3 linked regions of the Schizosaccharomyces pombe genome follow. The gene in region 3 interacts genetically with the main gene of each other region. Each region holds a gene or a part of one and is shown on either strand. Other genes may lie near its edges. The genes, in order: mbx2, pfl9 and pfl5.

What was found.
Region 1: of pfl5 (region 3) and mbx2, changing one suppresses a phenotype caused by changing the other (phenotypic suppression), as found in Schizosaccharomyces pombe (one study listed by BioGRID).
Region 2: of pfl5 (region 3) and pfl9, changing one enhances a phenotype caused by changing the other (phenotypic enhancement), as found in Schizosaccharomyces pombe (one study listed by BioGRID).

What each region holds. Positions count from the first base shown.
Region 1 is NC_003423.3:3,621,467-3,632,295, reverse strand, and holds mbx2 (MADS-box transcription factor), read right to left. Parts: upstream 5,658-10,829; coding exon 4,539-5,657; 3' UTR 3,638-4,538; downstream 1-3,637. Other genes in the region: SPOM_SPBP8B7.32 (uncharacterized protein), read right to left, coding at 1,695-1,919. UniProt on the Schizosaccharomyces pombe protein: Acts in transcription regulation. May bind to a MEF2-like typee II promoter sequence.
Region 2 is NC_003424.3:5,522,352-5,532,351, forward strand, and holds pfl9 (DIPSY family glycoprotein), read left to right. Parts: upstream 1-5,340; coding exon 5,341-6,321; 3' UTR 6,322-6,608; downstream 6,609-10,000. Other genes in the region: SPOM_SPAC869.01 (amidase), read right to left, coding at 1-757; SPOM_SPAC186.02C (hydroxyacid dehydrogenase), read right to left, coding at 7,611-8,609. UniProt on the Schizosaccharomyces pombe protein: May be involved in agglutination during conjugation or other aspects of colony formation. Induces flocculation when overexpressed.
Region 3 is NC_003423.3:4,415,865-4,428,746, reverse strand, and holds pfl5 (glycoprotein), read right to left. Parts: upstream 7,353-12,882; 5' UTR 7,335-7,352; coding exon 3,483-7,334; 3' UTR 3,139-3,482; downstream 1-3,138. Other genes in the region: Cu(2+) amine oxidase-like protein Cao2, read left to right, coding at 128-2,512; Tf2-11 (retrotransposable element/transposon Tf2-type), read right to left, coding at 10,089-12,882.

The sequences.
Region 1 (10,829 bases), 790 kb from region 3:
TACGATGGTCAAAGTGGAACAGCCGAAAGACAGGGAAAGTAAGGAGTCAAAGCTGTAACATAGGTGAATTGTTAGTAGTGAAAGTGTTGAATTATTGAACGAAAAAACGCTCAAACAAACCAGTAGGCGTTGATTGATAAGAGTATCAGGGAAAATACATTTCCTATAAGATAAATAGTCTAGTTTGTAGGCTTACTTGGTATGAAAAATTCAGTAGGTGAAAGTGTGAAATCAGTGGTAGAATTTTGCCGTAATGTGCTGTCGTGGACGCCATGATATGTTGGTTAACATTGAAGAGAACTCGCCAATTGGGATGTTCAAAAGGCAGGGTTGCATTTAGCCGAATGCATAAAAAAGTATTACTTCTTCTCACGGAGCGGACATATTGAGAGATATGGGTTTTTTGTTAAGTTGGTGGGAAAAGGTGTATGGGAGTAATTGAGTTAACCCGGTAAGGAATTTTTTTTCGCAGTTTTTAATTTTCAACTAGTTTCATCATCAAACAAGCTAGTTAACCATTATAGCCAGATATGTGGCTAACCCTGTCATTGTTTACATTGCGACTGCTGGAAATTTTTTGTTTGTGGTGTTTCTCAATGCCGCCTGTATCCGGGTTTGGAAAAATGGGACACATCAGAATGCTTCAGATGTTGCAATTAGCAACTCACATACTATCCTCATCGCAGGATTTGCGCGTTGCTAATTGCAAATTACTAACACAGCTAAAGATTTTGTTTTCAATTGCAAAACATGTTTGCCGATCCCGGAAAACTAGTTTTTACTAGCAAGGTTCAGTCATTCCATCTCAGCACTTTCTCAGGATCAAACCAATAAGGAAAAAAAGCAAGCCACATTAATACATAATTCGGATCTACACATTTCCAACGAATCACATAATTTGTAATGTCTCAAACTGAATCAACGCAACGAAAAATTTCTGTTTGCAATTCATATAAAGTTCCAACAGTACCACTCCCCACCTAGGTAACCCATGTCGCAGCCAAATAAAGAGCTATGCATGTCGGTGGTACATGTTCGTGTCCTGTTTCATCATTACAACGACCTCAACGTCAAATGTGCTACTAGATAACAAACGCTGGGCTACATAACCTCGCTAACAGAGGTACACTAGAAAAACATTGACCAAGTTGCGAAATAACACCCCACATCCCCTAAATCTTTATTAAGATCATGTGCATAAAAAGGCCTCGACACCACAATTGGGAAGGGGATAATTGGGGTCGGAAAACGAGATTCTTTTATTTATACGAGCGTATTCCTATAAGCAAGTGACTTGCCTGCTTTGTTCAAAGTCGTGAGACACCTATAAGTTTGGGGGGAACGGCATGAGAGTAATGCTTGTGTGTAGTAGCGTATAAGTTAAAAACTTTCTTCGTTTGGAAAGTTTGAATCACCATTAGATTCCTCAACGGTCACTACACTCACGAGGAGAGAAAAGACACTTACTTGTTCGTTGACCATTACATTAATCAAGCCTCTTCGTATGTCTCAAATACAGCATTCCAGAAAAAATACACCAGTGCTATTCTGGTGTTTAATTGTCTTTATTGGATTGACGTAGGGAAAAGCATAAAATTTTTTTTCACCATATTAGCGAGGAAACCATGAAATCTATAAAAATGTATCCCAAACACTTTTGCAATTTTTGCTTGTTTTTGTGATCGTTAAGACTGTCATTTTTCCCGCTTAAAAAGGCTCAAAAAGTGTTTATTGATTATATGAAATTTTGGACTTGTTCGACCCATGATGGAGGGAAAGCTCTTGAAAGCTAGAAAAAATTGGTACTCGACTTTTCTAGTGCTTGCTCTGATTCCTATAATTCTATTTGAGACAATTGAAATGATATAATGATCAAAAAGGTTTTGTTGAACAATAAAAAGCAAAAAATTGCTTTCCATGTGTTAAAAGAAGCCGAGAAGGCTGCGAAAATTTAGTCGGACCTTTTCAGTTTTCGCGTGTATATTTACACTCTTTGAGACAATCGGAGTTCTAAAAAAGGACCAAATTTATAGACTACTTGCATTGTATCACTTAAATCAAAAATTCGCTCCCTCGTTCTCTGTGCTAACCGTTCATAAGAAGTTCATCTTTTTCCTGCTATACCTATAAAGATTAGACGATGCTTATTCTCATGGATATCCGCAGCCCTTCCAAATCAGCATGCAAACATCCACTACCCTTACCATTCTTTTGAATCGCTTGCCTTTTAAACGAGTATTGAGATGGAATAATATTCTCTACATGCTCGCTTCTGCGTCCTGATATTTGAAATGATTTGTTGGATTATTCTGAGACTTCTTATTACAATTGGATACTTTAGAAGTATCCAATTAATTTGTTTTAGAAAAAGTGATAATCATTTGGGAGTTGTGCTATTATAAAAGAAAGAGATTCTTTGCTTAGTGTTGTGCTCTAAGCAAATTGAAAAAGCTGAAATGGCCAGGGGCTGCTAGTTTCTTGTATGCAGCAAAGTTGCACCACCTTATGCGAGATTTACTGACTTTCCGATCGGAATTTTTAGGAACACTTTGGTCTCGATTATCGCTATCTTTGTAACTGTCTAACAAACATTTCTGTTTTTTTAACAAGGTTGCGACAATTCTTTTTGCATTGGTTGCATTCCTGTTGACCAATGCATTTACTTTTTCGCGCAAAATCTAAATCCGAGTATTGTAAATTCACTTGCTAAGCCGTTGTCTATTGTTTTTATTCGCATTAAATTTGCAGTTTAATTGCCTTATATCCCTAATTTGCGTCTTTTAGTAAGACCCACGCCATTCTTTTTGCAATATTTTATTTTCTATTTTCGTTCCCATTAAATAATGTTAAACTGCCCTACGAAATTTCCAATTTGTTTTCCCAGCATCCAGATGCCTCTACTTAATACTTTTATCACCTTTCGTCAGTTGTTTTGTACCTGAAAGACATAGCCTTACGTTACTTGTGATCATCTTTTTGGTAATTATCCCACAGGGTAAAAAGTTTGCATAATTGTCGCTTTACGACAATTTATTACTTTTGTTTGTTCTGGAAGTCTTTATAATTGTTCTAAGTTAAGCCGGTGGTCGCAACAGACGTTTTAATTGGATAATGCGAGGTTTTATTCCCAAAATACAAACAGACTTGTCTGTCATAAAATAAGTTAAAATGATTTGTCAAATAGAGGATCAATTCTCAAATATTTGCCAAATCAGTCTCTAATTTATTTGAAGTGAGAAACTTGATTGCCTATGTCAGCATCCCACGATGGTCATTTTTGATACAGCGACTGAGTTTTATGCGGTTGATTCATGTTCCATCGTTTGCATAACATTGGTAATCTTTTATATCTTCTTCATCTTCTTATACTAAAGAATTTCATTTATTTGTTTGGATGTCCTAAGCCACGTATATAATAATATGTTACAGAAACTCAGGTTTCTGTTAACATAATTTCGCATGAAGCCAAATTCCTATTCCACCTTCTTTGAAGAGTGCTACCATGCTCATTCCGCCATATAAAATTAGCTGCTGCATTACTCCCCTGCATCTTACCTTTGAAGCTGGACGGTTATCGCTACGCTACACTTACACACCGACATACTAACAAACACTTAAACATTACTCTGTAAAACTACACGGAAAGTTCGAATTTCTCATGTTATTGTTGAAAACTGTAATTAGGGGTTTGAAAAAGGTTCTGTGAATCGTCAAACGTTCTTGATTAAAAAGGAGAAACCGTGAAAAATCTAGCAAAAAATCGAGTCAAACACACGAAAATAAACCATGTATAACCTTGAAAACGAATGAGAAACGTCTAATTAGAAATTAGCGGCTCCAAAAAAAAATTTGAATGCGAACATAAAGGTTGGTCCGCGAATGTTACATGTTGGTGAATTAATTAATGAAGTGGAAGGAGGTGGTTAAAACAAAATCACGAAAAAACTTAGTCCACTTGAATAGACAAAATGCGTGCCTGAATAAATAAGTGATAAACTGCCCGCAGTTTGCAAATAAATATTTAAACCGAAAATCACCATCTTGAATTCATAACAGGGAGGATCCAAAATACCGAAGATGGAAGTTAACAAAGTTAAACCATTGGCACATCTGAAATGTTCAGGTATTTGTATTTGCTAGCGTCTGAAATCATGCTAGGTTTGTAGTTCACATTGAATCCATAAGCTATCGGTAGGTGTCCATTTTATTGAACAACATTCCAAACTTCAATTATTGCTAGGTCAGTAATTTCGTTCGCGTAATTCAACTATAACGATAAATTGATAGACCTAGTATTAACAATTGTTTACTGGAATGCGATGTAAGTCAAATTAAAAAAATGGGCATCGCACAGCTTGGCAGTAAACTATTGGTGCTTGGATTGCTCCAAATCATATGCAGTTTGAGTAAGAAAACGATTGTAAGGATTTGATCGAGATGTATGCCAACTAAAATTATTACTTGTATACGATTCATTAGATCCAGGGAGGACACATGATGAAGACATTTGAAAGGGAGATTGACTTCTATGATATTCTTTAGTATTTGACATCACTGAGTGAATGTGGACTAATGGAAGCTACGTCTTGGAAGGATGATTCAGCTTCTTGATTCGTTAAGGAAGGAGAGCGATCATATGCCAAAAATGGAGTATTCGCAATGGTATGTTGAGAAGTCTCACAACTGCTACCCGAATACGCAGTAGGCGGAATAGGTGAGCCTTGTTTAACATCAAACATCTCAGGCGTTAGCTGTGGATTTGGATGTTCATAGAGAAAAGGAGGGCAAGCCGGGTTACCAGGAGAGACATTTTTTAAGGTGTATTGATTAGGTGAAGAAAGATAACTTGCTGGAGGCATAAGGACCTTCTGATCATAGGTGGACTGGTCTTGTTGCAGTACATGAGTACCCAGATAAGTTGGAACTTGTTTCAAAGAAGGAGACGTAGCTCTTTGTGGATAGTAGTAAGGAGCGAAGTGCGTTTGCCTACGATGACCAGGAAAGCCGTTATCACTAGGGTACGGAGAATGATGTTGCAATGGAACTGTAGCACCCGGAGACACAGGAGATTGGAAACAATAGGGCGGTGGATAGTTATTGTTATGAAAATGAGGATGAGGTGGATGATGAGGAGGACGAGTATGGGGATGATGATGTTGTGTGGGAGGAAATGGAGGACAAGAACGAACGTGATTAGACGATAAAGGCTCGGGACGACAGTAAGACTGAACTTGAGGATTATAGTCCTGAACAGTCGTTTCCGATGTTGCAGGAGAATCACCAGTGTCGAGTTGGGAGTCTGATAAAGGTTGGTCCTGTGACTTCAAATGCTTATTATTAAGAGGAGTAAATGAACCAGTTGTCGTTTCTGGAGACACGGTACTTGACTCTTCGACAGGCGATGACGAAAAATGAGAACGGTTTTTTAACTCATATATGCTGAGAGTGTTGAGTTGTTGAAGAGTACGTTGATAGTCAGAGGAACAAAAGACGTGCAAACGTCCTTTCCGATCAATGACTGTGACGGCGACTTCACAATCGGCTAGCACAGCGAGTTCATACGCCTTTTTGTAGAGACCTTGTTTTCGTTTGACAAAAGTTACGCTCCTTGAACGATCGTCGGTTATGGGTGCAATGGAGATTTTTTTGCGCCCCATATTAGACGTTGTATATATTTAGTAAGGTTTGACGAGAAAAGAGAAAAAGAGTCGACGAGGTTAACCAAAATTCAGGTATAGGGAGAATGACGAAAACAAACGAGCAAACGAGCGAGCAAACGGGCAAGTATATAAGGAACAAATAGAAAACAGCAGATGGGGTTTATTCTTGGAATTTATGTAACAGTTTTTATCCCTGTCTTCCCTTCTCTGCACCGGATCTCTTGAGGGTAGATTTTTCGCTTGAGAAAACAAGAGCGCAAAGTTCTCCAATTGTGCTCGTAATTGATAGTCGATTAGACGAATCTAAGTTGAGATTTAAAAACGAGGAAGCTATTTTTGTTTTTGTACTCTGGGTTGAAGCGGGCGACGAAACTAAAGATATTAATAGAAAAAATTTTTTTAGTAAACAAGATAGCCGGAACGGGTGGTTTTCAAGTGTTTACAAATGAGAGGAACAAAGACAAATTAAATGACTAGATGTTTTTGTGTGCTATTTTTAAAATAGAAAGAGGAAGAATCAACACTTTGGAGAAATTTTTGCCTTTGAAGCTATATTTTTAACAATTGTCCCCTCCTTTTCAATGTCAGGTTTAAAAATATCTTCTCGCCAAGTTTTATAAATAAATTAATCTGTCTCAACAACTTGAAATTATAAAATTAGGTATTTGTTTGTTGTCTGTGTGCGTTTATAAGTGCGTGTAAATACGTGTTTTTGTACATATATATGTGTATATATATACAGGGATAGCAATAACTAGGAAACCGCAACGTCTATTTAATGCAACCTTCGTAATACACACTGCGTTCTAACTTAGACAAGTATCGACGCCAGCATCGTAACATACCATTGTACATATTTATGCAAAAGAAAATAAATTCCAATAGTGAACGAAAAAAATTTTCTCTTTCCCTCCATAGGCAATTGTTAAGGGATAGGTTTTTCCTGCATAAGTACACCAAAATTAGGGGCTAAATGTCTTCCATTCACGTTTATCCGAAGATGCGTAGCACTTTGCCAACATTACCGATGAATTCTCAATATACAAACGCGTATAAGTGTACATTATGTTCCTCATGTAGACATTCTGAAAATTCACCGTTTCGGCTACTCGGGTAATTTAAACTATTTCTTCATCTCTCTTTTCGAAAAGGGGAGGTCACAAGGCCGAATACTTTTTCATGAAAAAGGTGGGATAGCCTCGATTAAATGAGCCCTAAGTAGGAAAATCCTTTAATTGGAGGAGGAAGATGGACATAATGGAAAGAAGGTTAGAAGGTACCTTTTGAGTATGGTTAAAGTCCACTTGGATTGCAAACCTGACTTTGCAGTAATAGTAGAAAAAAATAGAAAGAAAGCGGGATTAGCAATTATTAGGAAAGAATCATAGTAATCCCATGCACCTAATCCAAGGTTTTGGAAAGGGGATTTTATTTTTAGACGCGATAGTCAGGCAAAGCGTATGGGCCAGCCAAAATACTTGGCAAGGCTAAAGAAAGAATCGAAGAGATAGAAAGATACGAAAATTCGGAATGCGCTGATGATCGCGTTTAGGGATTTTCGTATGTAATCCTTCACTTTTCAACCAGTCAGTCAATTGGAAACGCTGACCCTATTACTGATGCAGTGTACGATACTCAATTCAAAGGGGAAAGGGGGAGGAGGGCGTGAAGGAACAATATTACGAGTGTTGTCTCCGCTCCTTGACTATACTTAGACACACAAGTCCGAAAATAGACTCGCTCTGATTTTGCTTTTCGTAACTTGCTCTATTAATAAATGTATCCGGTAAGAATGGGGTACAATACGAATACAGTACATTGGGAAAAAATAACCAGAGAGGTAGCTTATGAGTAATTTGATTTCGCAATGAATCGACCGTTACGACCTGCTTATACTTTAGTATAGCTAGACGAAGTAGTTTGGATTAGACTTTAGGAGTAGTCCTATCTGGCGACTGACATACTTTCGTTGCGATATAGTTTACGTGCGCAACCATTCGCGAGGAGGCTGAATATTGACTTGAGCCTCGTTATTGCTTATACCACTCATTCAAAGTCGTCTACACTCGTGCTAACACTGCATCCGCCTATCATTTTCAGCACTTGTTACGAAAAGGCAAACCATTCGATGTTTCTCATCTACCTCTCTACATGATTGCTTAGGAGTACGGGAAGGAATTGGGGGAAACTAGGGTTGAACGATGAACTTGACAAATTCTCATCATTTTTAATCGGTCGTTAAGTGTTACGATTGGGGCAACATGTTTTAAACTGTTAGTCAGTGAGTAGAGAGGAGAGTCAACGATGATGTGAATGCATGCCATGACTCATGGAAACAGTGAGAATTTTGGAAATCAAAAAACATCATCGCCACAATCCATCTCTGTCCGCCGTCCCTTTACCTTTGTTTTAATGGACAGCCTCAGTAGTGCTGACTCACGAAATTGACGTGTGCAGCGACTGCTTACCTTGTCCTTCCTTCCTTTCTTCCTCCTTACCTGGGGTATGCCGAATTAGCTTAATCAAGCTAGTGGGACATAAAGGACTTTGATTATGGACTTTTGCCGTATCGGTACTTGAAGCCCGTAAAAGGGCATCTGTCTCGGAACTTTCCGTGGCTCCATGTATAAGAAAACACACATTTGTTTATTTTGTGCACTATATGATGTTTGTCCATATATACCCGTGTAAGCGACAAATCGAATTATGCACAGCTTTGTCTTACATCTATTCGTACTACCCCGTATTACATACCCCGTCTTACATGGTCTACCAAAAGTATGGCTTTATCTCTTAACAGATTCTTTGTTTTCTGTCAGAAAACATTTTTTTTGTTGATATCTGAAAACAGTTTTAACGGAAAACATCATTATTTTTTCTTCGCATTATCGGCCCGTCTAAACATCGGTAGAACCGAGCTTCAAACCAAAACCCCCCATATTAAATGGAATGTGCAGAATACTCCCAGCTTCAAGACAAAATGACTAACGAAATTTTCGAATGTTAAGTACGGATTACTTTTTTTCGGCTAGCACGGGATACATGCAACTCTGGCTGACCTTAAATTCAGTTCTGTACCGTAGCGATAGCATACTACCGAATTAACTTCTTAATCTACGCTTTAGCGAACCCTTCGACGAACTGACCTCGTTAACCCATCCAAGACAGTCTATCTATTCCACCATTTTTAGGATTGCGCTTCTGTAAAGTGTTGAACTTAATCCAAATAAATACCATTTGTTTCAGCACGATTTCAGGATAAATGTGGGCAAACAGCTTAAGGTTTTTAGATTTAAGCTAATTTTTCCTGTTAGCAAAAAAAGAGGCAGTGGTGCTAGAATACCCGAAGGCCGTTTGTCTAAATATGCTATAATTAAAACCAAAAACCATTTTCCTTATGGCTTTTACCACTTCATCTTAATGACCCAAATGCTTTATCTCTTATCTCGGAGAAAAAGTCTTGTATTTTGAATCAATCATGAAAAAGTCAAATATCGTGCTTTTATTTCTGCCTAAATTTCTCGATTCTGACAAAATTAAAAAATATTCCTGTTAGTCGGTCTCATTCAAAATGTTAAGATAACATATCATTTCCCGGTACCCTATTTTATTTTACCGAAAGTCATTCCATTTTAGTAAAGGATTTACCGAAAAAAATCAATGCAACCTGTGGAATACATATTTTGTTGTTTTGATGGAATAAGATTGGGAAACGACTAGCAGCCCTACATTTTTGTTTTATGTCCTGTGAACGTCGGTTGTCCAGAACATTCAACTATCAATTTCTCGCCGTATACTAAAATAGAAAACTTGCTGCAGCGCACCAGTTTAAACAGCTCGGTGGTATAGCTTTCCCTTAGATTAGTTGTTTTTTTTTTTTTAGCAACAATACAGTCAATGCATGGCAATTTTTATTTGCTTTTCAATTTGAGTTTAATAGCATTTAATTAGCTATTTTTCATTCGATGCTATTCTTCTTTATGCAATTCTCGTTTCGAATGCTATAGGCAGTCAAAAAGCACATGGCATATCAATCCAATAGTTAATAAATCGATGCTTAATTTGGTGGAGAAGAATGGTTTAACACAATTGTATGAAATTACTGTAAGAGACATTAAACGGAATCGTAATTACTTTTAAACTAAATATGCCATTCCTCGATACCACCTTTTACCGCCGTCGTAGAACGGCAAATCGATACTTCGCAAAATTCTAAGCATGGTGCAAATGAATTTCCATCTCCATTACGAAATAACTTAGGCTCTTTATAAGGGATCTTCATTAAATGTTATTTTTTTTTACTAAATATTAGCCATGTAACCAGTGGTTTGTTGAGTATACGCTCTCCAAAGTAAAAACAATTTCCTTGTTAAGTCTTCGTATCCTCAGTAATAGTTATAGAATACAAACACAGGTTTTGAGCGTAAAACAACTCCTACTGCAGTGTCTACAAAAAAAAGGGGGTTTTAATGGTTCCCTTAAATGTATTTTTTCCCTGTTAATATGGGAGTACATATTACAGTTTGAAATTGCAACAGCAACATGACGCCCATGTGCTCCTTGCAACATTAACAAACCTCGATTTCCCTTAATAGAATTCTACAGCTCCGGTTTTCCCAGTAAATAGAACTATTTGAATCATGTTTGAAAGGCAGTTATCCAGTTTCCTTGACAGTATAATTTAGTCGGCAAATAGTATTTTTTCGGGTTGATGAAAAGCTAGTTTTGTCAATATTATCCTTTCAAAAGCGAAAATCCACCCCAATTATTCTTTTTTTAGGACCCAGTAGATATATTTTGCGAATCCTTATAATTAGAGAGATATATTGGCTAGTTCCATAAAATCCTATAGCTGTAGTTGCGAAACTATCGGGAATCGAACAACTTTCTGGAGAAGTTGTTTCACTTCAGATTCAAAAAAAAAAAAAAAATCAAGTCGGACATTAAAAGTGTACGGTCTGGAAACAGAAACTCAAATCCATTATTTAGCCTAACCGCGGGTTACTATCAGGCATTGCTAACCAAGTGTAATACCAAGTTCTGCAAAGTAACGAAAGCAGCTGGGAAAAGCATACGCGAAACAGGGAACAAAGAAATTTATTTATATTGTTTCTTCACAAACCATTCTGATGAATGCTGCCCGAAATCGCCTAGCCCCCATTTCTTTCA
Region 2 (10,000 bases), on a different chromosome or scaffold from region 3:
GCATGGCTGGGTCAATTATACTTCCATCAGTTTCAGTCCCCAATGCAAATGCAATCATGTTTGAGGCAACTGATATTGCGGACCCAGATGATGAGCCGCCCGGATTCACTGTTAGATTAAATGGGCACCTTGATTGCCCACCACGTGCAGAATAGCCCTCACTGTAGTCATTAGACCTCATATCTGCCCATTCTGAAAGCGTCGCATGTCCAAATAGTACTGCCCCTGCCTCTCTCAATTGCTTGACTACGTACGCGTCTCTAGGAACGATTGAGCCCAACAAAGCATAAGAACCAGCTGTGGTGTCCATCTTGTCTTTTGTTGCAAAATTATCTTTCACTATAAATGGGATACCATGTAGTGGTCCTCTAATTATCCCATTAGCTCGTTCATCATCTAGTTCCGAAGCAATTGTCAATACGTCAGGGTTAAGTTGTAGAATTCCATTAACGTAGGGATTTACTTGTAGATACCTATCTAAGTAACAGTGAACAATATCAGTAGAAGTAAGAATTCCATTTTCCATGTAGTTCTGCAGCTGATCAATAGTAGCATCCTCTAGCGTTATATTTTGACATTTGGGCATCGGAAAAATATTGGTTGAATTTGTATCAGGATATACGTATGTGGTGAAATTGACTTCTTGAGAAGCAACTAATGTACTATTTGTAGTTGTTTTACTTGACTGAAGTAATGGGATAGCAAGACCGTGTTTTGCTAACTGAGCTAGTGTAAGAAACAAAAGTTGAAGCTTCATCCTGTACAGAAAAAATCAGTTCCTTAAAGGGGAAGCAAAAAAAAAAGATATCTACTTTAAGGGTTAGTTCATTACTTATATATACATTCTTTCTTATCTAATACCGTATGCATCACGTCCCTCAGTACTCTTATTACAAGATTGTATCTAAAAATTTTAATCTAATCAATTTTTTGTGAGCTTTGCTACGCTTCGACCGATAGTTGGGAAACTGGGCAAAACGGACTCAACTTTTCCGCTATGATAAAAACCGATAATAAAAGCAAACGATATCGGAGTATCGGAGTGTGAGAAATCAGTCATGTGATAGATCAGTCCTTAAAGTACCAAATACCACAATAAAAAGCATTTGCGATGTTTTCAGGGTGTAATTTTTTTTTTATTTTGTGTGCTAATATTAATGGCAAACGGTATATACTCTTTTGCAAAATATATTTTGCTTTGGATTTTCTTAACCATAACGAACGAAAAACTTAAAACATTATTATGTAATGAGCAAGGAAACTTTATAAAAAAAGTTAAAAGTTGTTGAGGGTGAATTGTAAGGCGACGTACTTTAAACGTGACTTTTTTCAATACTAATTGTATAAAAAGTTGCCGGTCCTTAAGCAAACCAAACCCCAAGTGAATTGATGTGTTGATTTCAAATGAGTAGCCTATTTCAAAGCACCTTGCTGCGTTATCACTAATATGATTATAAATCTATTCCGATTAAACAGAACACCAATAATAGTATGTCTAATACATTATTTATTTTCGAAATATTTATCAAAGCAGAGTATTTCATTTGATAAATTCCTGTTTTTGGTTTTCGAAAATTAATAACTGATAAATGGTGATTTTTCGTTACCGTAACACATTGGTGCTCCTATTATTATATGTTAGTGCTTCAAAGTTTAAAACCAAATTTTGCATTAACAGTTTTTCTTACCTGAATACTAGTGCTCACATTTGTTTATAGCATTTGCAACTATTATGGCTTACACATTTTTAAGAACTACGTTTGAAAATTACTTTTATTTTGTTTTATTTTTTAATTGTTCGTTTTAAAAACTATTGTCCTTAGTGCTGATTATGCCATGTTTCTATATCAAGTGCTCATACCTGAGCTTCTAGCAGCATTGATTCCCTTTTTAATGTTCATTCTATATAAAAATCAAAATCGATTTCTTGTTTCGAATAATCGATTGTAACTTCGAGACCACACCATTTGCTATTTTAGGTTAAACAGAATTTGATATAAGGAAGAAGCAGTTTTCCCTTCAAGTTCGGCATGGCTTGTGATGGAAGGAAAATTTATCCGTTATTTTTGAAATAGTACATTCCTTTAATTAGTGGGATAGAAAATGATGGACGAGGCATGCCTTTGGAAGGCATCTTATATCATACTTGAAATACATATATCTTGGCAGGATCTTTAGGAGTTGTACATGTAATTTGAACTAAAATGGATTGTGCTTTATTTACGTTTTTGTATAAAAATACGATGCATGTCAGCACAATTTGCAAATACGTTTTACTTCCAACCGCGCATGCAAGATGGAATATATGATGCTCTGCAAAAAACAATTGTCAAAAACCATAGTCTTTTAAGTCATAATATAATTATTAGGGAGCTATGGAGCAAAAAAAAAGAATTATAATCAGGTAACTATATGATTATTTGTTGTCGATTTATAAAAAGACATTTGTAATCTTTTGTTAAGCCGAAATGTTTATTAAAAATTTTATAGATAAACTATCCGTTTTAAGATCATTTTTATATGAGAATAATCTTTAGTAAGACTATTTTTTTATAAAAAAAAGCTTTGAAAAAACCGTCAAGAGTTTAGCTAGATGACTGATTTATAGAATATATCTAACATAAGAAAAAATCCTTCATTTTTCGTAAGTATTTTATGATATGACTTATTTTTCAATAACAGAATTAACTTTGTTTTAACAATACATCACTGCTTACATGCGAGCTTCACAAAGCAAGTATTCGTCTTTTTTCTGCGAATTTCATTCGATTAAAGAAGTGAACTATACATTGTTGAGTTCACCGACCCTAACCCTAGACAAAGGAATTGGGTAACATACATTGATTATTGTGTTTTATACCCTATCAAAATTGTTTGAGTAACTTGAAGTGTAAAATGAATAAAAGATAAATTGGTAATAACTTGCTTTAGTGTATTTCAGGCCGATTTAAGTAAGTTTTTAATAGTGTCAAACCAAGTTTGCTCACCCGAGGGTGTTCTGTGGGAATCTGCTTTGTTTTTTAATAGATTATATAGTTTGGTTTGTAAGGGTTTATGAACGCTAAACAATATACCGTTTGTACCTAGCGGGTAGGTATCACACGCCGTTCCCGTGGGTCCAGATGACAGAAGTGACGGGACTGCTAAATATAGCGGATCGTTTTTTAACGATGAACCTTTTTCTTATCCGAATTTCGAGCTAAACAGCTAGGTATTAGGATTTAGTGAAGTTTCAATCTTTGGACGTACTTTAACGGGAACACAATTGAATTATGGATTACAGTGGGATACTTAAGTTCAAGCTTTGAGAAAACGAGGAAAGGCGTTAATCCTTTGTATTGACAATAAGAAGTGATGCTCAAGAAATAAGTTTTAATGCTAAGTTGATTGAACTGGTCAATTAATATTTGATAAATTTTTTCAATCTTATTGTAATTTGATGCATTAAGGTTCGTATAAACAGCTTTTCGATAGTTTGTGAAATAAAATGCAGAAGTACTCAGTAGTCTGTTACAGAATTTATGTTTTTGGTGTTATTTGAAGACAAAACCTTAATGGATTCGTTTTATACCTGTAAATATACTATCCAATTCTATCAAACGTACTTAAAAACAAATACCGATTCATAGAATTTGTTACGATGAAATATTTCTAATAATAGTATACTAATTGCAAATAATTTACCAGGTCCAAAGTCATTGATCTGGACTATATTGACATTCCAAATATTAATAGTATGTCTTAGCGTATATAAAAATTAAGAAGACTTCAACGCTAAGTATGGATTCAGCTCTTTATTTTGTTATAAAAAAATAACTCAATGCTAAACAATAAAATAGCCGAGCAGTTTTCAATTAAGAATTGTCTAGCGAAATTTCATTAAACAACCTAAATCATATGGAGTTTTTTTCTTTTTTGATATTTGGCTCAGGCAAAGAAGAAAAGTTAAGAGTGGTATTTCTTAATAAATTAATGTCTCAAAAAAGGAATAAATTTTTTTTTTAAAATGCTAAATTTTAAACGTCCTCAGTTGCATAGATGAACTTTAAATGATAAGCGAACGAAATGCAATCGATAAATCATTGTCTCTTAGTAAAGTGTTCGGTTAAAATGACTGACATTTCGTCCGAAATAATATCAGTGTAAATATCATGGGAAAATTTCGTGTATTTCTTTATTTGGAATGCGCAGCAAAGTATCAAGAGAATAATTAGTGTTTTATATGATTTAATTTTATTGCCGGTACAATTGTATGGTTGTTCTGATAAATATACATGCTTTGTCGGTTTATCACTCTGAATAAATTTGTGATATATATTGGTTTATTTATTCAATCTATGTATCATGTAGTTGATGCTTTCATTTTTTTCATAATTTTAAAAATATCAGTTAATCATTTATTCAGCAACTGTAACGTTAAATCATTAATATATATATCTATATCGGCATGCATTAAGTTGCTACCGTTAAACATCTTAATTAAAACTAGTCTTTTATAATAACTAACTCTTTAATTTTTTGAAATTAGTTCAATTTACTGTGGAGGGCAGTCGATTGATAAAAGCTTTTCGATTCACTTGTAGCTTTAATCGGTGCTCGTTGCATCAATATTGGTTTATATAAGCCAAAGCTTTCATGGCTATTAATGAGTGATGCCGGTTTAACTACTCTAAAATGTTTTGAAAATGATAGGTATGTTTTGATTTGCTTCATCTTTTTATTTCAGTATTAACAACCTAGTAATTAAAATGTTAACAAAAAAATTTGACTACCTTTTCGAATCACATGTTTTCAGTGCTAAGTTGCCTCCAGACTGTCTGCAGTGAGTATAGGTGTTTTATAAGAAATTTGCTACATAGTATCAAATCAATAATATGAATGTAGTTTTATCAAAAAAATATTCATTAAGGCGACTGTACTGAAAGAGAAGTAGGTTAATAATAGACTCTTAAGAAAATTAACGAGAGGCGTCAATTTCTGTTGCTAGCATATATTGCGAACTCGATCGGTATGTGAATTACTACGAAAACATGCGAGCCGCGTTAACAAATGTGCATTGCCTTGTCTTAAAGTAACTAAGTTTCTCAGAAGCAGTATAAATAGTAGACTACATTAATTTCGAAGTTCCGATAATGATCTTTTTATAGAACTCAAATTTTTTAATTTGATATTGAGAATTCGAATAAAAATAACTATGGGATTAACAATAAGGGGGTTTCCGAAATTTTGGGTACTGGTTTTATATGCGCAGTTTTTGTATAAATGAACAGGCCTTCTCACACGTCTTTTCGGTTCATATTTAGCGATCAGAAGTCGTTAAAAATTTTTCTCCTATAAACAATGAATGTGGTGAAGTACATAATTTTTAGCTTTGCTCTGGCGCCTTTGTTATTAGTTAACGCGAACACATATAATTTTACACAGATACAAAAGCGAAGCGTAAACCAAGCTGTTCTTGAATCAAGTCAAGATACCAATTCAGTAGGCGGTGAAGCTTCTTCAACAGCTTGCCCTTTATTCACTACTATTTACACTAATGGTATAACACCGGGAACTACAACGATTTATCCAACATCTATCTCGACATCTGGCGTATCTAGCAACAATATCGATGAAACTTCGGTATCCTCTGAGTCTATCATCACATCCACTATTACGACTACTATAACATCTGGTTCGCAACTCTATACTACTACCATTACCGGTCAAAACACACCTGTTGATACCGTTGAAGTGGTAATCCCTACTGCTGGTACTTTCACAACTACATTGACTTCTGGATCCAGTTATCCTGTCGCAACAACTACAGTGCGAACAGCTTCTGGAACACAGTCAGGTGAAGTGGAGGTTATCACACCGTCCTGTGGATGCAGTCCTGAAAATTCATTCCATCTTAAAATAGACAATGATAAAATCAGCCCTTCCTACGTGTACATGGATCCAAACGCACCCGTGAGAACTAATGGTGCCGGTCGAGAGGGGAATATGTTTGCTTCAACTAATGGAGACAACGAGGGACTAAACCTTTTCTACTATGATTCCACTATTCAACGAGTATTAACATGTGATTGTCAAAGACCGTCTTACACTGTATACATTGAAGATCCAATTATAGGCAATGGTTTTTCAAGTGCTTGGAATCTCATTAAAAATAGCGATGGCATATTTACTCCTGTTGAATCAAGAAATAATGAGCCACTACACTTTCATGTAGATAACAATGGAAGAGTATGGATGACTTCACAAGAATATGATACAGAAGTTTCATCAACCGACGAAAGAAATTTTAGGGCCAATGATGTTACACTTCAACTGTATTAGTTGAAGCAGCAAATTTAGAATTGCACATACTCTCGTTTAATTTTTTGTATTTCAGGTCATACATATAATTTTTTTTACATTCATTTGATATAATATTTTAAAATTACAATCCATGAAATCCTTTATCAATCCCTATTGAAGATGTCAAGAAGTTGACTTCCTCGGATTTCATATTTTTCTCAAGTTCTGCTGTAAACTGAAAATAGGGATATTTAAATAGTTCTTAATTATTTTTTCCACTAGAAATTGATTGCTCTACTAATAAAATACTGTTCCAAGTTATCGGCACAATTATTACTTTCGTAAACAAAATTTGTATTTTATTTATTTTTTTTTTTTTTAAATTAATCATAACTAGTGGTATTAGGAATGCATATTTTAATCTAAGTTCAAATTAATTGCTTTCATAGTAATCATTGATATTTGTTAAATAACTAGGTTTAGGTAAACCGTACTAAAATTGAACAGGAAAGGATAAATTTTAGTAAATTTTGTAGATTATGCTTTTCGTAAAAAATAGTGGTGGCCGGTTTTAAAGATAAGTTTGGATAAACTGGTTATAATTTCCTTAAGTGAAATTTAATCACTTAAAAAAATATTAGATCTAAATAGTAACTATAGACAAGTTTTGTATAAGGAAAATGACAATTAAAGATAAGGAGCTAGACTAGTCTAGCGCTTGTTTTGAGTTTAATATTAGACCATTCAGAATTTTTTTACTCATTATTACTAAAAAAGAAAACTTAAGCAAGAATTTAAATTGTGGAAAGTCTCTTTTACTTATTAATAATTGTAAGCAATAAGGATAAGAAAATCAAAACAGTTTTTTTTAAAAATGTTTCTAAATTTAAAAAAAAATCTAAACCATATGCTGCGTTGCCTGTAAATAGTGTATCTAGGTCGGATGAGATTATTGTTTTCAACTTTATTTCTTCGTTTTGTAAGAAATGAACTATATTGTTGTAGAAATAGAATAACGTTACTAATCTCTTGAATATGGGTTAAAAAACAAAATTCACAATAATTAGAAAATTTTTTACCTTTTTATAGTTTTACCCAATTATTTACTAAAAATTATTGTAGCAACTATTTTAAATAGTAAATGGTGGATTTTCTATCAAGCAGTAGGTAAATTATTGCAGCATAATACTGAACAAAAGTTTTCATTTCATTTTCAAGTACTCACGAAATTTTTATTGAATTGAAAGAAAACTATTTTGTATATGAAAGGCGCTAAAAAATTATATCTTCATTATCACTTTTGATTCAAGAGACTAATACTAATTTGCTTATTTATTTGCGATTACTGATTCATCAAGACTATTAGTATAGAAATCGGACGCACTCTTCAATGTGGTATGTGCAATGGAACAGAGAGCTTCTGTAGTAAAAAACGCCTGATGTGAGGTAACCAAAACGTTTGGAAAATTAACAAGACGTTGAAACGTAGAATCCTTTATTACTTCGTTAGAAAGATCCTTATAAAATAAGTTTCTTTCACCTTCATATACATCTATTGCACAACCTCCGACTTGGCCGGAGTCGATGGCGTCAACCAACGCTTTCGTATCAATTAAACCTCCTCTACTAGTGTTCACAATTGTTACTCCCTTTTTCATTAAAGCTAGGGAGTCAGAATTCACAATGTGCGTTGTACTGGGCGTTAATGGGCAATGGAGGCATAAAAAGTCAGCCTTCTTTAAAACCTCATTTTGCTCAACAAATTGAACTCCATAGTTTTCTAACTTCTTATCCGGATTGATATCGTAAGCTAATACATCGCAACCAAAACCCATTTTAAAACATTTTGCAACATTACTCCCGATTTTCCCAGTACCAATCACTCCCACTGTTTTACCATGTATGTCACATCCAAGTAGTCCGACAATATTGAAGTCATCTTCACGCACCCGAACATAGGCACGATGAATTTTACGATTAAGAGACAAGAGTAAACCAACAGTGAATTCAGACACAGCAAAAGGCGAATAGGAGGGGACGTGCACAACAGTTATTTTATATTCGGACGCTGCCTTTAGATTAACGTTGTTGTACCCCCCACAACGAAGAGCGACCAACTTAACACCATTTTCTGCCAAAGCTTTTAAAGTATCAGCATCTACTTGGTCGTTCACAAACACACACACCACCTGTGCTTTGCCTGCCAAAGAAACTGTATCTTTGTTCAATGAAAAATTGTGATATATTATTTCATGGTTAAAAGTTTTGTTAGCTTCTTCAAAAGGCCCTCTATCGTATGATTGACTACTAAAAAGGACAACACGCATTGTTGGAAGCAAAGGGGTAAAATGTTATGAATAGAGGAAATAAAAGTTAAAAGCTGAGAGATACTATAAATAGTTGTTCAGCGTTCGCAATGAAGTTCTTATGAATGATATTAATCAACCTAATCTTTGGAAACTTATTACATTTAGAAATTTAATTTGCCCACGAGAATATAGTCGATATTTGTTATAATATTTTTAATACGTCAACGGTATGTAATATATCTATAGTATTGCAGTGATGAAAGTGTTCTGTAATAAATGATAAAATTAATTTATTATTGCAAAGTAATATATTGATTATTTAAATTTCTTTTTATCTTTTTAAACAACCATATGATCCTAGGTGTATTTCAGAAACTATGGGGTAACTAGGTGCAATATTTTTTATTTTTTATTGTCGCCACGCAAGTCGCATATCAACTATTAATGATAATTTGAATGGTCTTGCATATACAAATTAATTGGTGATTTGATGTTTTAAGACTTAGTAAGCCATACAATAATAAGAAGTCGATTGAATTTCTAAAAGTTTAATCACTATTATAGGTGCATCGACGCGATGCTTATGTTCATAAAAAAAATTGAAATTGCTGTCAACAACAATGCATAAACAAACTATTTGTTAATTTCAGTATAGGAAAAAAAATAAAGTTTTCGAACATATTTTGGAATTGCGGATTATTTTAACTGAAAGACGAAAAAAAATGTAAAAATAATCTAAAAACGTCTGTGGTGCATATTTTGATTTTAATACATCTTTCGTCACTTCAACAAGCACTGCAAAACTGATGAAATTCTTTGATGCTTCAGTTCTTCATGGCTCAAGCCACTCAAACAAGCTTTCTGAATAAAAAAAAGGTTGTAAAAAAACCGACGACGTCTGAATAAGCGGTAACTAAATATGAATTTTCACGAATTTATAGAGAATACCTTGGTTATTCCGAGTTTTAACAGAACTTTGTGTCAGTGCTATATTTGTTTTTATACATAAATTAAGAGGGACGATGATTTACTTATAATATAGAACATTGCCAAAAATAAAAAATTTAGTTGGATTTAAATATCCTTCGGACACAAATCCATGTTACTTTCGTAGTTGTAAACAATCAATCATACCGTCATTATGTAATAGTACGAAGAAGTACCAGAATTTTTTAAATTATCAGCAACTAGCACCTGTGGTCATTTTAATCTGATGATAGTTTATTCTAATATATTTTGTCTATAAAATTATGATTTGGTATGCCGCAGTTCGTATAAAGCAAGTACCGGTTATCTGATATATGCGGCGGCAACTAGTAATATATATAACTACCTTAAAAAAATGTAGCAAAAGAGTAAAATCGTGACGAAATTGTTTTCACTAATATTAACAGTAAACATCATATGTT
Region 3 (12,882 bases):
AAATGTTGGCACAACATTTCATATTATAGCAAGGCAGTATTCGGTGAAACTATCAAGAAGACTAATTATTTAACGAATTATCAGAATTTGAAGACAATTTTATTTTATTTGAGTTCAATTGAACAAAATGGCAGAAGAAAGTAAAGCTGCAGAGTACTTTGATCCATTGGACCCATTGAGCTTTAATGAATTAAGATACGTAGTAAACCTCGTTCGGAAAAGCTATCCTGAAAAACAAATTTCTTTTGATGTAGTTACGCTAAGTGAACCACATAAGGAAGAGTACGTTCATTGGAGATATTCTTCTGCTCATGAAGGTATACCCGACAGAAGGGCTTACGTGATTGTACTAGAAAAAGAAGTTCCTGGAGTATTTGAAGGAATTGTCAACCTTACTACTGGAAAAATAGAGAAATGGGAGCATTCCGTTGATACTTGCCCAATAATTACAGCGGATCTACTAGCCATTACTGATGAAATTGTAAGAAATGATGCAAATGTAATCGAGCAATGCAAAATATGCGGCGTTCCTGAAAGTGGATTGTCTAACGTCTATTGCGACCCTTGGACCATTGGTTATGACGAGCGCTACGGTTCTGGTCGGAGGCTTCAGCAAGCTTTAATGTATTATAAACCCGGCGACAGTGGTCATCTTCGTTCCATTCCGCTGGATTTTTGTCCTATAATTGATGTTGATCAGAAAAAGGTGATAGCTATTGATATTCCCAAAGTAAGACGTCCTATTCCTCAAGATGTAAATTCGGATAACAATTTGAAAAAGCTTGAGCAGGAGATGGAAGCTATGAAAATGCTTAAACCACTCCGTATTACTCAGCCAGAGGGTGTAAATTTTCGTATTAAAGGACGCTATATCGAATGGCAGAACTTTTGTTTTCACATTGGGTTCAACTATAGAGAGGGAATTGTTTTGTCAGACGTAGTTTTTAATGAGGATGGGCACCTTCGCCCTCTTTTTTATCGAATTTCGCTTACTGAAATGGCGGTTCCTTTTGGGGCAAAAGGACATTCGCATCACCGAAAGCATGCATATGATTTAGGGGAATATGGTGTAGGATACCGAACAAATCCTTTGTCTTTTACTTGCGGTTGTGAAGGTGTTATTCATTACATGGATGCTGATTTTGTTAATTATCGTGGTGAAATAACAACTATAAAAAATGCAATTAGCATCCATGAAGAGGATGACGGTGTGCTTTTTAAGTATTCTGATCTCAGGGATCGCAATGCAAATATTTCAGCTAGAAGTATTAAGTTGGTAGTCTCACAAGTATTTACTGCTGCCAACTATGAATACCTTGTTTACTGGATTTTCCGCATGGATGGAGTTATCGAATGTGAAATCAGACTAACTGGAATTTTGAATACGAACGCCATAAATGAAGATGAAGACTTAAAAGGTCATGGAACACAAGTATATCCAAAGATCAGCGCTGAAAATCATGAGCACTTATTTTGCCTTCGAATCAACCCAATGCTTGATGGTTTAAGGAATTCAGTTGCTACAGTGGATGCATTAAGGGATAAGAATGGTACTCTAGTATCAAAATATATTATTCCAGAGACAGTAACTGAAGCAATCAGCAACTATGATTCATCTACCGGTAGGACCTGGGATATCTGTAATTTGAATAAGTTACATCCGTATTCTGGGAAACCTGTATCATATAAGCTTATTTCTCGAGACACATCGCCTGTACTCTCGCAACCCGGTACTACGAATTCTGATTGTTCAGGTTTTGCTGAAAATAATATTTACGTAACTCCTTACATGGACGACCAAATCTTCCCAACTGGTGATTATGCTCCCCAAGCCTCTGATGATACGCCTAAGGGGTTATCTAAATGGATATCCGATGATCCAAATGCACAAATTAAGAATACCGATATCGTCGTTTGGCACACTTTTGGTATGATCCATTTTCCAGCTCCGGAAGATTTTCCAATTATGCCTGCCGAGTCTATTCACCTTTTTTTACAACCTCGCAATTTTTTTAAACATAATCCCGCTCTTGATACATCCTCTTCCGTAAATTCTACTTCTGAAGCAACAAGCCCCAACACTCACCATGAGAATTTGAGGGATACTTCTCAAAAAAGAGAAAGTCATAGCACTCCTCATGACTATGAACCTCATGTATCCGATAAAAATGATAAAAGCGTTGAGGATAAGCTTCATTTCGTCCAAAAAGACGAAAGCAGGCCGAAAGAGCCTGTTGTTGATGCTGCCCAAAAACACGAAGGTCGCAGCGAAACACTAGCACAACCGGGTCAGCAAAATGCTAACCAGTCAGAGGAGAAGCAAGGAGGTCAAAACGGTTCAAATGGAGGTCATCACCATCATCATCACCACCATTATATTACTGGTCATGTTTATGGAGGATATCATAAGCATTCTGGTAGTGGAGGCCACTTGGTCGACATGATGAAAAATATCAGTGATGTTACTCATGATTTTGCTATGGGAAATTTTAGATATCATAAGTATGATTAAATTAGATGAACGAAAATAGCTCATAATCTGCATATTATTTGTATAAAGAAGCTTTTTGAGCAACTGTGGGGTACATATTACACCCGAATCTAAGTTTTTATTTAGTAATTAATGGGATTATGAATTGTTAATTCTTTAAATTAACTAAATTTGGTAATTGTTTTATTGCGCGATAAAATGGAAATGTTATTATCATGAAGGCTCATGAAAAGGACTCCTAAATGTCGTTTGGTAAGTTGTAATTAAATACAACGAAATACCAAATATTTTGTGAAAGCAACCTCACATTTAAACCTCTTTTAATATAAAAGTCATGAAAAGTTCTCTGGCGGTTATTTCATTTCATTCCTAAGTGTATTTGAACATTCCGATATGCTGCTTATTCGTCATTTATTTAATTGAATAATTGTTAACTAGCGAATGGGAAAATACTTTGCATTTTACAAAAAATTTGGGTGATATTTGAAAGAATGAAACGTCAAATCTAGAAACTGTGAATGTCCATTTTTTGTAAATTTTTATTATTAAATCACTGCTCGGAAAAGCAGAGTTCATGAATGGTGTATACACACAGCAGTAAGTCCTGTATCAAAACTTCACTAAATAAATCATTGCCTAACAATTGAGCAAAAGATTGTGAATATTATTATAAGAAAAATAGAAAATGGTTAAGCTACATAAAATCCGTTTTGAAAAAAGAAAAACGTGGTATTAAATATAACATAACGAATAAAATTAAGATTAAAACATATCCATATGCAAGTTAAACATACAACAGTTTAAGTTTTTAACCAACTGCCGAGAAAAAAGACAAAAAAACAAATAATTTACAAAACTGTGGTATAGAATCTAAGTAAACCACACAGACATCCATCAAAAAAAAATGATGTGACAAAGTTAAGCTGCTGTTATAATTGGTAGCATATTATAAGCAAAGAAGAACAAATTGATGCTTACATGCTTAAGCTAACTAACAAACATTCCAACAATAGTCAGAAGCATCCGTTTGGGAATTGCCTTGATTATCGTAATTATTGCACCCGGTAATATAATCATAGGATTTTTGATAGCTCCATGTATTACATTCAGACATGTCAGTAACACCAGCACTACACCAATCATACTGAATTTGGAAATGAGGCATGCAAATATAGCTACCTGTGCTTGTACCTTGAACAGTTACCGTTGAAGTCCAGCTGCCAGGATTAGAAATGTTGTCCACTTTAGAGTTGTATGAGTACAAGAGATAGGTTTGAGATAATCCCAATATCTTTAATTCACTCAATGATTTTTTCGACATAGTCGAAGAAGTAGTGAACTGAACTGTAGCATCGTACATATTGTTACCCTTCGGTGTGACACTAATTACCCTAATGTCAGCGGGAGGAAAGTTCACATTTTTAGAATGAAAATTAAAATTTAGATTTGGACACTCAGCAAACGGAGTAGAAGAACAAGCAGGAGCAGTTGGAGAAACAACAATTACGCTTCCAGATCTCGTACCAGTAGCGGGAACAGTAGTAGTAAACCAAGAAGTACCAGAACCCGTAGTCGAAGTTACCGTACCAGCAGTAGGTACTACGATCTCAACAGTTCCTGAGGTCGTACCTTGAGCAGGGATAGTCGAGGTAAACGGAATAGATCCGGAAACAATAGTCTCTGTGACGGTACCAGCGGTAGGTTCAACCACCTCAACAGTTCCTGATGTTGTACCTTGAGCAGGGAATGTGGAAGTATACCCAACAGAACCTGATATTATGGTCTCAGTAACGGTACCAGCGGTAGGTTCAACCACCTCAACAGTTCCTGATGTCGTACCTTGAGCAGGGATAGTCGAGGTAAACGGAATAGATCCGGAAACAATAGTCTCTGTGACGGTACCAGCGGTAGGTGCAACAATCTCAACAGTTCCTGATGTTGTACCTTGAGCAGGGAATGTGGAAGTATACCCAACAGAACCTGATATTATAGTCTCAGTAACGGTACCAGCGGTAGGTTCAACCACCTCAACAGTTCCTGATGTCGTACCTTGAGCAGGGATAGTCGAGGTAAACGGAATAGATCCGGAAACAATAGTCTCTGTGACGGTACCAGCGGTAGGTGCAACAATCTCAACAGTTCCTGATGTTGTACCTTGAGCAGGGAATGTGGAAGTATACCCAACAGAACCTGATATTATGGTCTCAGTAACGGTACCAGCGGTAGGTTCAACCACCTCAACAGTTCCTGATGTTGTACCTTGAGCAGGGAATGTGGAAGTATACCCAACAGAACCTGATATTATGGTCTCAGTAACGGTACCAGCGGTAGGTTCAACCACCTCAACAGTTCCTGATGTCGTACCTTGAGCAGGGATAGTCGAGGTAAACGGAATAGATCCGGAAACAATAGTCTCTGTGACGGTACCAGCAGTGGGTTCAACAACTATGACAGCACCAGACGAAGTGTCATGAGCAGTAATCGTTGACATAAAAGAAACTGACCCCGAAATAACAGTCTCAGTAACGGTTCCCGCAGTGGGTTCAACTACTTCCACGGTGCCAGAGGTAGTCCCACTAGCAGGGAACGTGGAAGTATATCCAACAGAACCAGAAACAATGGTCTCTGTAATAGTTCCAGCAGTGGGTTCAACTACTTCCACGGTACCAGAGGTAGTTCCATTAGCTGGGAATGTGGAAGTAAAAGTTTTAGAACCAGAAACAATGGTCTCTGTAATAGTTCCAGCAGTGGGTTCGACTACTTCCACGGTACCAGAGGTAGTTCCATTAGCTGGGAATGTGGAAGTAAATGCTTTAGAACCTGACACTATGGTCTCAGTGATAGTTCCAGCAGTGGGTTCAACCACCTCTACAGTGCCAGAGGTAGTTCCACTAGCAGGGAACGTGGAAGTATATCCAACAGAACCAGAAACAATGGTCTCAGTAACAGTTCCAGCAGTGGGTTCAACCACCTCTACAGTGCCAGAGGTAGTTCCACTAGCAGGGAACGTGGAAGTATATCCAACAGAACCAGAAACAATGGTCTCAGTAACAGTTCCAGCAGTGGGTTCAACCACCTCTACAGTGCCAGAGGTAGTTCCACTAGCAGGGAACGTGGAAGTATATCCAACAGAACCAGAAACAATGGTCTCTGTAATAGTTCCAGCAGTGGGTTCAACTACTTCCACGGTACCAGAGGTAGTTCCATTAGCTGGGAATGTGGAAGTAAATGCTTTAGAACCTGACACTATGGTCTCAGTGATAGTTCCAGCAGTGGGTTCAACCACCTCTACAGTGCCAGAGGTAGTTCCACTAGCAGGGAACGTGGAAGTAAAAGTTTTAGAACCAGAAACAATGGTCTCTGTAATAGTTCCAGCAGTGGGTTCAACTACTTCCACGGTACCAGAGGTAGTTCCATTAGCTGGGAATGTCGAAGTATATCCAACAGAACCAGAAACAATGGTCTCTGTAATAGTTCCAGCAGTGGGTTCAACTACTTCCACGGTACCAGAGGTAGTTCCATTAGCTGGGAATGTGGAAGTAAAAGTTTTAGAACCAGAAACAATGGTCTTTGTAATAGTTCCAGCAGTGGGTTCGACTACTTCCACGGTACCAGAGGTAGTTCCATTAGCTGGGAATGTGGAAGTAAATGCTTTAGAACCTGACACTATGGTCTCAGTGATAGTTCCAGCAGTGGGTTCAACCACCTCTACAGTGCCAGAGGTAGTTCCACTAGCAGGGAACGTGGAAGTATATCCAACAGAACCAGAAACAATGGTCTCAGTAACAGTTCCAGCAGTGGGTTCAACCACCTCTACAGTGCCAGAGGTAGTTCCATTAGCTGGGAATGTCGAAGTATATCCAACAGAACCAGAAACAATAGTCTCAGTGATAGTTCCAGCAGTGGGTTCAACTACTTCCACGGTACCAGAGGTAGTTCCATTAGCTGGGAATGTCGAAGTATATCCAACAGAACCAGAAACAATAGTCTCAGTGATAGTTCCAGCAGTGGGTTCAACTACTTCCACGGTACCAGAGGTAGTTCCATTAGCTGGGAATGTCGAAGTATATCCAACAGAACCAGAAACAATAGTCTCAGTGATAGTTCCAGCAGTGGGTTCAACCACCTCTACAGTGCCAGAGGTAGTTCCACTAGCAGGAAACGTGGAAGTATATCCAACAGAACCAGAAACAATCGTCTCAGTAATAGTTCCAGCAGTGGGTGAAGTTGTTTTTGACAATGACGCGCTAGTATCATTTATGGAGACTGTACTTAGAGTGCTTATTGTTGAGTGTGGTAGAATAGATAAGTCAATTGTAGAATTGGGGAGGTAGGTGGAGGTGTAGGTACTGTAAATAAGAGTATGGCTTTGGTTGTTGTAGCTAGTTGTTGGAATAATTAATTCAGTAGTTCCATTGATAGTATCTGTAATTGGCAGGGAGTTTGTGTTAGAATAACTGTTGGTTGTCGTTCCATTGGTTAAGGAGACTTGTGTGGTATTAGTGTTTTGTGGTGTAGCTGTTTGCGAAGGCTTGGAAATGGAAGTATTAGTATGTATTAAAGGTTGTGATGATATTGTCAATGTTGAGTAGTTTCCGGTGCATTGACTGTTTGTTATAGTAATTAAGGTAGTATATACACTTGCGTTGCTAAAGGAGTGCGTGTATGGCAACGTTGAAGTATATTCACTAGGGCCGTCACTGTAAATTGTTGTGTATTGTGAACATTCATTTGGCAAGTTTAAATCAAGAAATCCTTGTACATTTCTGTTCCATACTTTTGCAGTAGCCTTCCCAATATGAGCAAAGATAGCGAGAAAAATAAGATCTGTAAACACTAGCATGAAGTTGTGATGAGCTGCAAATTCCCAAATATAATGGCACAAGCACTTCTTTTATTTTTGTATATGAGCAAGTAAGTAATGCAACTTCAGACTCCATTTTTTCCAATTACCGACTGCCCGGTTTAAAATTTTGATAGTCCTCTGTCGGGAAAACATAGTGGCACAATACCTGTAATAAACAATCGGGGTATAGTAGACATTCAGCATCAATATTAGGACACGAGCTACTGTTACTTTTATATGAACAAATTGAACAGCTAACAAAAAAGGCATGAATTATACAAACATTTTTAGAGTACTTGTGTGTATGTATAAATTTATGTTTGCATATTTTGCTGATTGCAAAAAGCATATTTCAAAGAGCGCTACTAAATTCTCCCCTCCAAAAGTTTAATATCAAACGTTAAGATAGATAATAAAAAAATTCAAAAATTTACAAGCACGACCCTTTGATAGTTCAATTTCAGAAAAAAACATTACGTTGAAGTAAGAGTAAACTCAGGTTTTTCGTAACTACCGTATGTTGGTATGTCAGTTCGGATTCAAACCGTCAGTATAAAAATAGGAATAGGGATGGATTAACAATCAGATTACGGTATAACATCGCAAGCTATCGACAAATGCAGCTCATTCAATAATGTGCCTACCATACTAGAGTTACTTAAATTTTTTCTGTACGAATATATTTGTGGAATACATTATTTTTTTCTCAATGTATACAAAATAAGGAAAGGAATGTAAAAACGTATATCAAATACTAATCTAGCGTTGTTACGGTATCGTTAGGGTTTTGCAATTGGGACAACTTTAATCTAACTTGAGTAAGGTTAACGTTATTTTGTTAGCGAGATTATAACCCAGAAGAAAGCCAATATCTTCAGTTTTCAAATCTAAAGGCATTTCATCACATGAAGATTGAATTATATATTTTACTAAAGCAAATTATTTTTACCTTTAATTTAATTAAGCACCTTAGGAAAATAATAGAAGTTAGATTTACATTTGCATAAACTGAATTAAACCTAATTACAAATTTTTGTCTACTTGATTACTGTTAACCGCAATTTCCGGTGGTAACGTTACGTTAAAAACTCCGTTCATGAAAATAGAAATAAAACGCACAGCATTACAAAGCTAAGAATACGGATTATTAGGATGGAAGCAGAAATCAAGGGGTAAACGGCAAAACTCAATAAAAAATTTTCTTCTTTCATGGAAAATTTGGCTTGCAAAGCTACACCATATTTCAACGACTAATAGTCTCATTAGCTGAATGATTTAACCGCTATACTGCTTCCTTTAGATGATAAATATAATGCTAACTCAGTCATTAGATTTTAAGCTTTATGCTATATGTTTTATCACCTTCGACGCAATAGTAATGATATTATTAATTTTTTATTTATTTATTTTTTATTTTACGAATGTAATTTATAATAATGCTTTAAGAATTTATTAGAAACACAAATTTTTTTTTTTTTTTTTTTTTTTAATTTTATGAACAAAATACTTATTTGCGTTTTCTCCGTGAATGAAGAATTTTCTATATTGAAGGCAGATCCCATCAATTTTAGATGCGAAGCCGGTAAAATTAATTCCAAATAATATTCTTTGAAGAGTTTGTTAGCATGATGTTTTGTAAAAGATATATTCAAAATCTCTTGCTAAACATCATCTGTATTTGTTGTACTGTAAATCTAGTAAATAATTATTGGGTATGCCGTTCACAGCAAAAAGCTGTTGTTTTGTTTACGCAGTACTTTTAAAAGTTTGAACACAATTGGCTATCTTTAGTAGCACTACAATAGCTAAAAACTTATAGCTATCGTGGTGCAGAGAACGAATGGCTTATAGAAGTTAAAGCTCCTACTCTATAAAACGTAAAATGGCAACGTTTTTAACCTTTTTTTCTATGATTCTTCCATTTCTTCTAATTATACTACAAGTAAAAAATTTATGCAACATTTATAGATGTGGAAAAATTTCGAATCTTAGTCATAGTGCGCGATGTGACAAAACCCTTCCGAGCATGTTTCGTATAACGTCGGCAAATTCAGATTTCGATGCATAACTTTTAGTGTTTTCGGCACGTTAAAGTTTCACTATATGATTCTGTAACCCATCTATCAGTGTCTATTCAGAATCCACCACTGCCATTACTTTTTTTGTGAATTTAACATAAGTGAAGTTAATTAACCGCGTTTTACGGCTGGTAATCAGCCACTTAGAAATCTATTATAATAACGATTGCCCTCCCTTGATCACAACATTTTTTTTGGAAGGGGAGAAATATAATGAATCCCTCATAGAAACTTTTAAAAATGCAAAAGATCAAGTGCGTTACTGTATAGAAAGTGTAAGCTACACAGTTTGGTATCTGATTTAAGGATACGTAGAACTGCGGTGAGTTTTCCTTGTGATCTATTATATTACAATACACAGGTTGTATAAGTAGCAACTGAGTATAGGTATTGTATTAACTGGGTTATAATGTTACCTATCACTAATATAGCTCATAACTGAACTGAGGAACGAGGTTCAGCAGTAGCTCTATTTATAGTATTCAGATAATATTGATCTTAATAGATTATCATTAAGATCAATCTCCATATCGTATCATACATGGTACGATATATAATTAGAACATGTGACATATAGTGATACTCAACGTAGTGTATTATAGCGTAGTGTAGTATTGCTGACATTGCCCTCCCCAAGATTTTCTATGTAAATCTGAGGATAAGTCATATGTTCTCAGATATTTAGATTATTGTTTTTAATATAATCATTGACAATTGCTTTGTCCGCTTGTAGCGCTGTAGCTAATGTAGTCCATCCTGACATAATAGTACTCGGATTTAGATTCGAAATGTACTTGACATTTAAGTAGAGTACTTGTTCTCTGTTTTTATGTTCTAGGATATGAAGAATTGTTCCAATATCAGACTCATCAATGGTAGCGTAATTGAGTTCTGAATTATGTCGATACTTTTCTAGGTGAGAAACATGAAAAGTAGATGAAAACATGTGCTTGATTGAATCTGGAAGATCCAATTCATAGTTGTTTGGACCCGACTTCTGTAACACATAGAACGGTCCTGCAAAACTAGGTGCTAATTTATTGGATTTATGAAGAAAACCTGTTTTCGTTCTTTTGACCATAACTAGGTCTCCAGGTTGAAATTCTTCAATTTCTTGTATTTTCATATCGAAATACTTTTTCATCTTTATGTTGTTTGTATTCAAGTGTTCTTTAACTGTTTGAAATACTTGGATCGTTTCCTGAGAGTTTTCGTCAGTTTTGTCACTAAAGCTAGGTAACTCTAAAGGTGATAAAGCTGGTGAATAGCGATGTACTATCTCAAAAGGTGTCATTTGAGTTGCTGAATGTATCGCATTGTTGTAAGATTGTTGCACTAGGGATATATGATCTACCCATGTATTTGGATGTGTGCTACATACACATCTTAGTAATTTCTCCACAGTTTGGTTTGTACGCTCAGTTTGTCCATCAGTTTGTGGTCTGTATGGTAACGAAAATTTCATAACGAAATTATATTTATGTGCGAAATCTTTCCACGTTTGGGAAGTAAAAATATGATCATTATCTGCAATGATTTCTTTTGGATTGCCGAAATAAGCAATAACTCGTTGATCAAACATTCGAGCTGTTTGCTCTGCTGTAATGGATTTCGTACAAGGTACTAAGATTGCCATTTTTGAAAATCGGTCAACTACCACGAAAAGTGCATTATAACCAGATGATTCTGGTAAAGCTGTAATAAAATCCATTGATAAAGATTCCCAAGGTCTTTCTGATGGGGGAATTGGTTGTAAAGGTCCATAAGGTTTATGATTCCTAGATTTGTTTATTTGACATGTATGGCAGTTCTGTACATATTCTTGTATTTGTTTTCTTATTCCTTTCCACGTAAATCTACGTAATATAATGTTTGTAAGAAGTTCAATGCCTGGATGAATCAATTTACCTTCTTCATGATACTTTTTAATAATTGTCCTAGTCAGCTGAGTATCATTAGGTAATAAGATTTGGTCTTTACTGTTAATTAGTAAGCCATCTTTGAGTTGGATATTCTCTTCTACTCGTTTGTCTTCATTGTTTAGTAAATTCAACAATTTTGTATCATTCGTATATTCTGTAACCACTTGGTTTTTAAAATCATCGGTTATCGAGATTTGATTAACAAAGTTGATACTATTGTCTTCTGAATCTTTTGGAATTGGTTCTGTTTCGTCAACAATTCTGGATAAGGCATCAGCTATGTGATTTGCTGATCCAGGTCTGTAGTTAATTTCAAAGTTGAAGTCTTGTAAAAATAATTGCCAACGAGCTAAACGTTTGTTTTCAGGCTCGGATTCGTTAGTAATGCGACCAATTAAGTTTCGATGGTCTGTTAAAATTTTGAAAGGTTCGATAGTGGATTCTAAATAGTGTCTCCAATGTTTGAGAGACTTAATGATTGCAAGCATTTCTTTGTCCGATACGCTATAATTTAATTGTGCTTTAGACATCTTTGCTGAATAGTATCCAACAGGATAGTATTTATCATCATCATGTTTTTGAGACAATACGGCTCCTACAGCGACATCTGAAGCATCAGTTTCTAGTAGAATCTTTTTACTGAAATCAAAGTGTCGTAGCACCGGAGGAGAAACTAAACATTGTTTAATGTTTTCTATCGCTTGGGTTTGTGTTGGTGTCCATTTCCAGCGTACATCCTTTTTCAAAAGATTATTGAGTGGATGTGTTAATTGTGATGTCTTTGGAATGAATTTCCTAAGATAATTGACAGAACCTAGAAATTGTCGTAATTCTTTACGATTCTTAGGTTGCTTCCATTGTAAGACTTTGTCTATATTTTCTTGACAAGGCGTAAATCCTTTTTCCGAAATGTGATACCCTATAAATTTTACTTGTGATTGATGAAATTCACATTTTGCTTGATTGATAATTAAGTTCGCATTTTTTAATTTCTGTAGAACGTCTTTAACATGTTTTACATGTTCAGATTCCGATTTTGAATGAATTAAAATATTATCCATATAACATACTACATGCGATTCTTTGACTTCACCAAGTATTGTATTGATAAAGTATTGAAAATGTGCTGGAGCTATAGATATGCCATAAGGCATTACTAGATATTCAAAAACTCCACGAGGACAGCGAAAAGCAAGTTTATGTTCATCTCCTTTTCTTACTCGTATCAAGTGATAGGCACTTTTGAGGTCAAGTTTAGTAAAAATTGTAGAACCTTGTATTTTAGCAAGTAATTGTTCAATAAGTGGTAACGGATATATATTGGGTTTGACATACTTATTTAAAGGTTTGTAGTCAACCACCATTCTCAAGGTGCCTTCCTTTTTCGGAACGAACATTACTGGACAGGCGTTAATGGCTTTAGATTCTCGTATAATTCCACTTTTTAATCCTTGATTAATTTCATCATTCATAGCTTGCATTTTTCCCGGTGGTAGCGGGTAATTTCTGATAGGTAATCTGTAGTTTTCTTGAGTTAGTTCAACT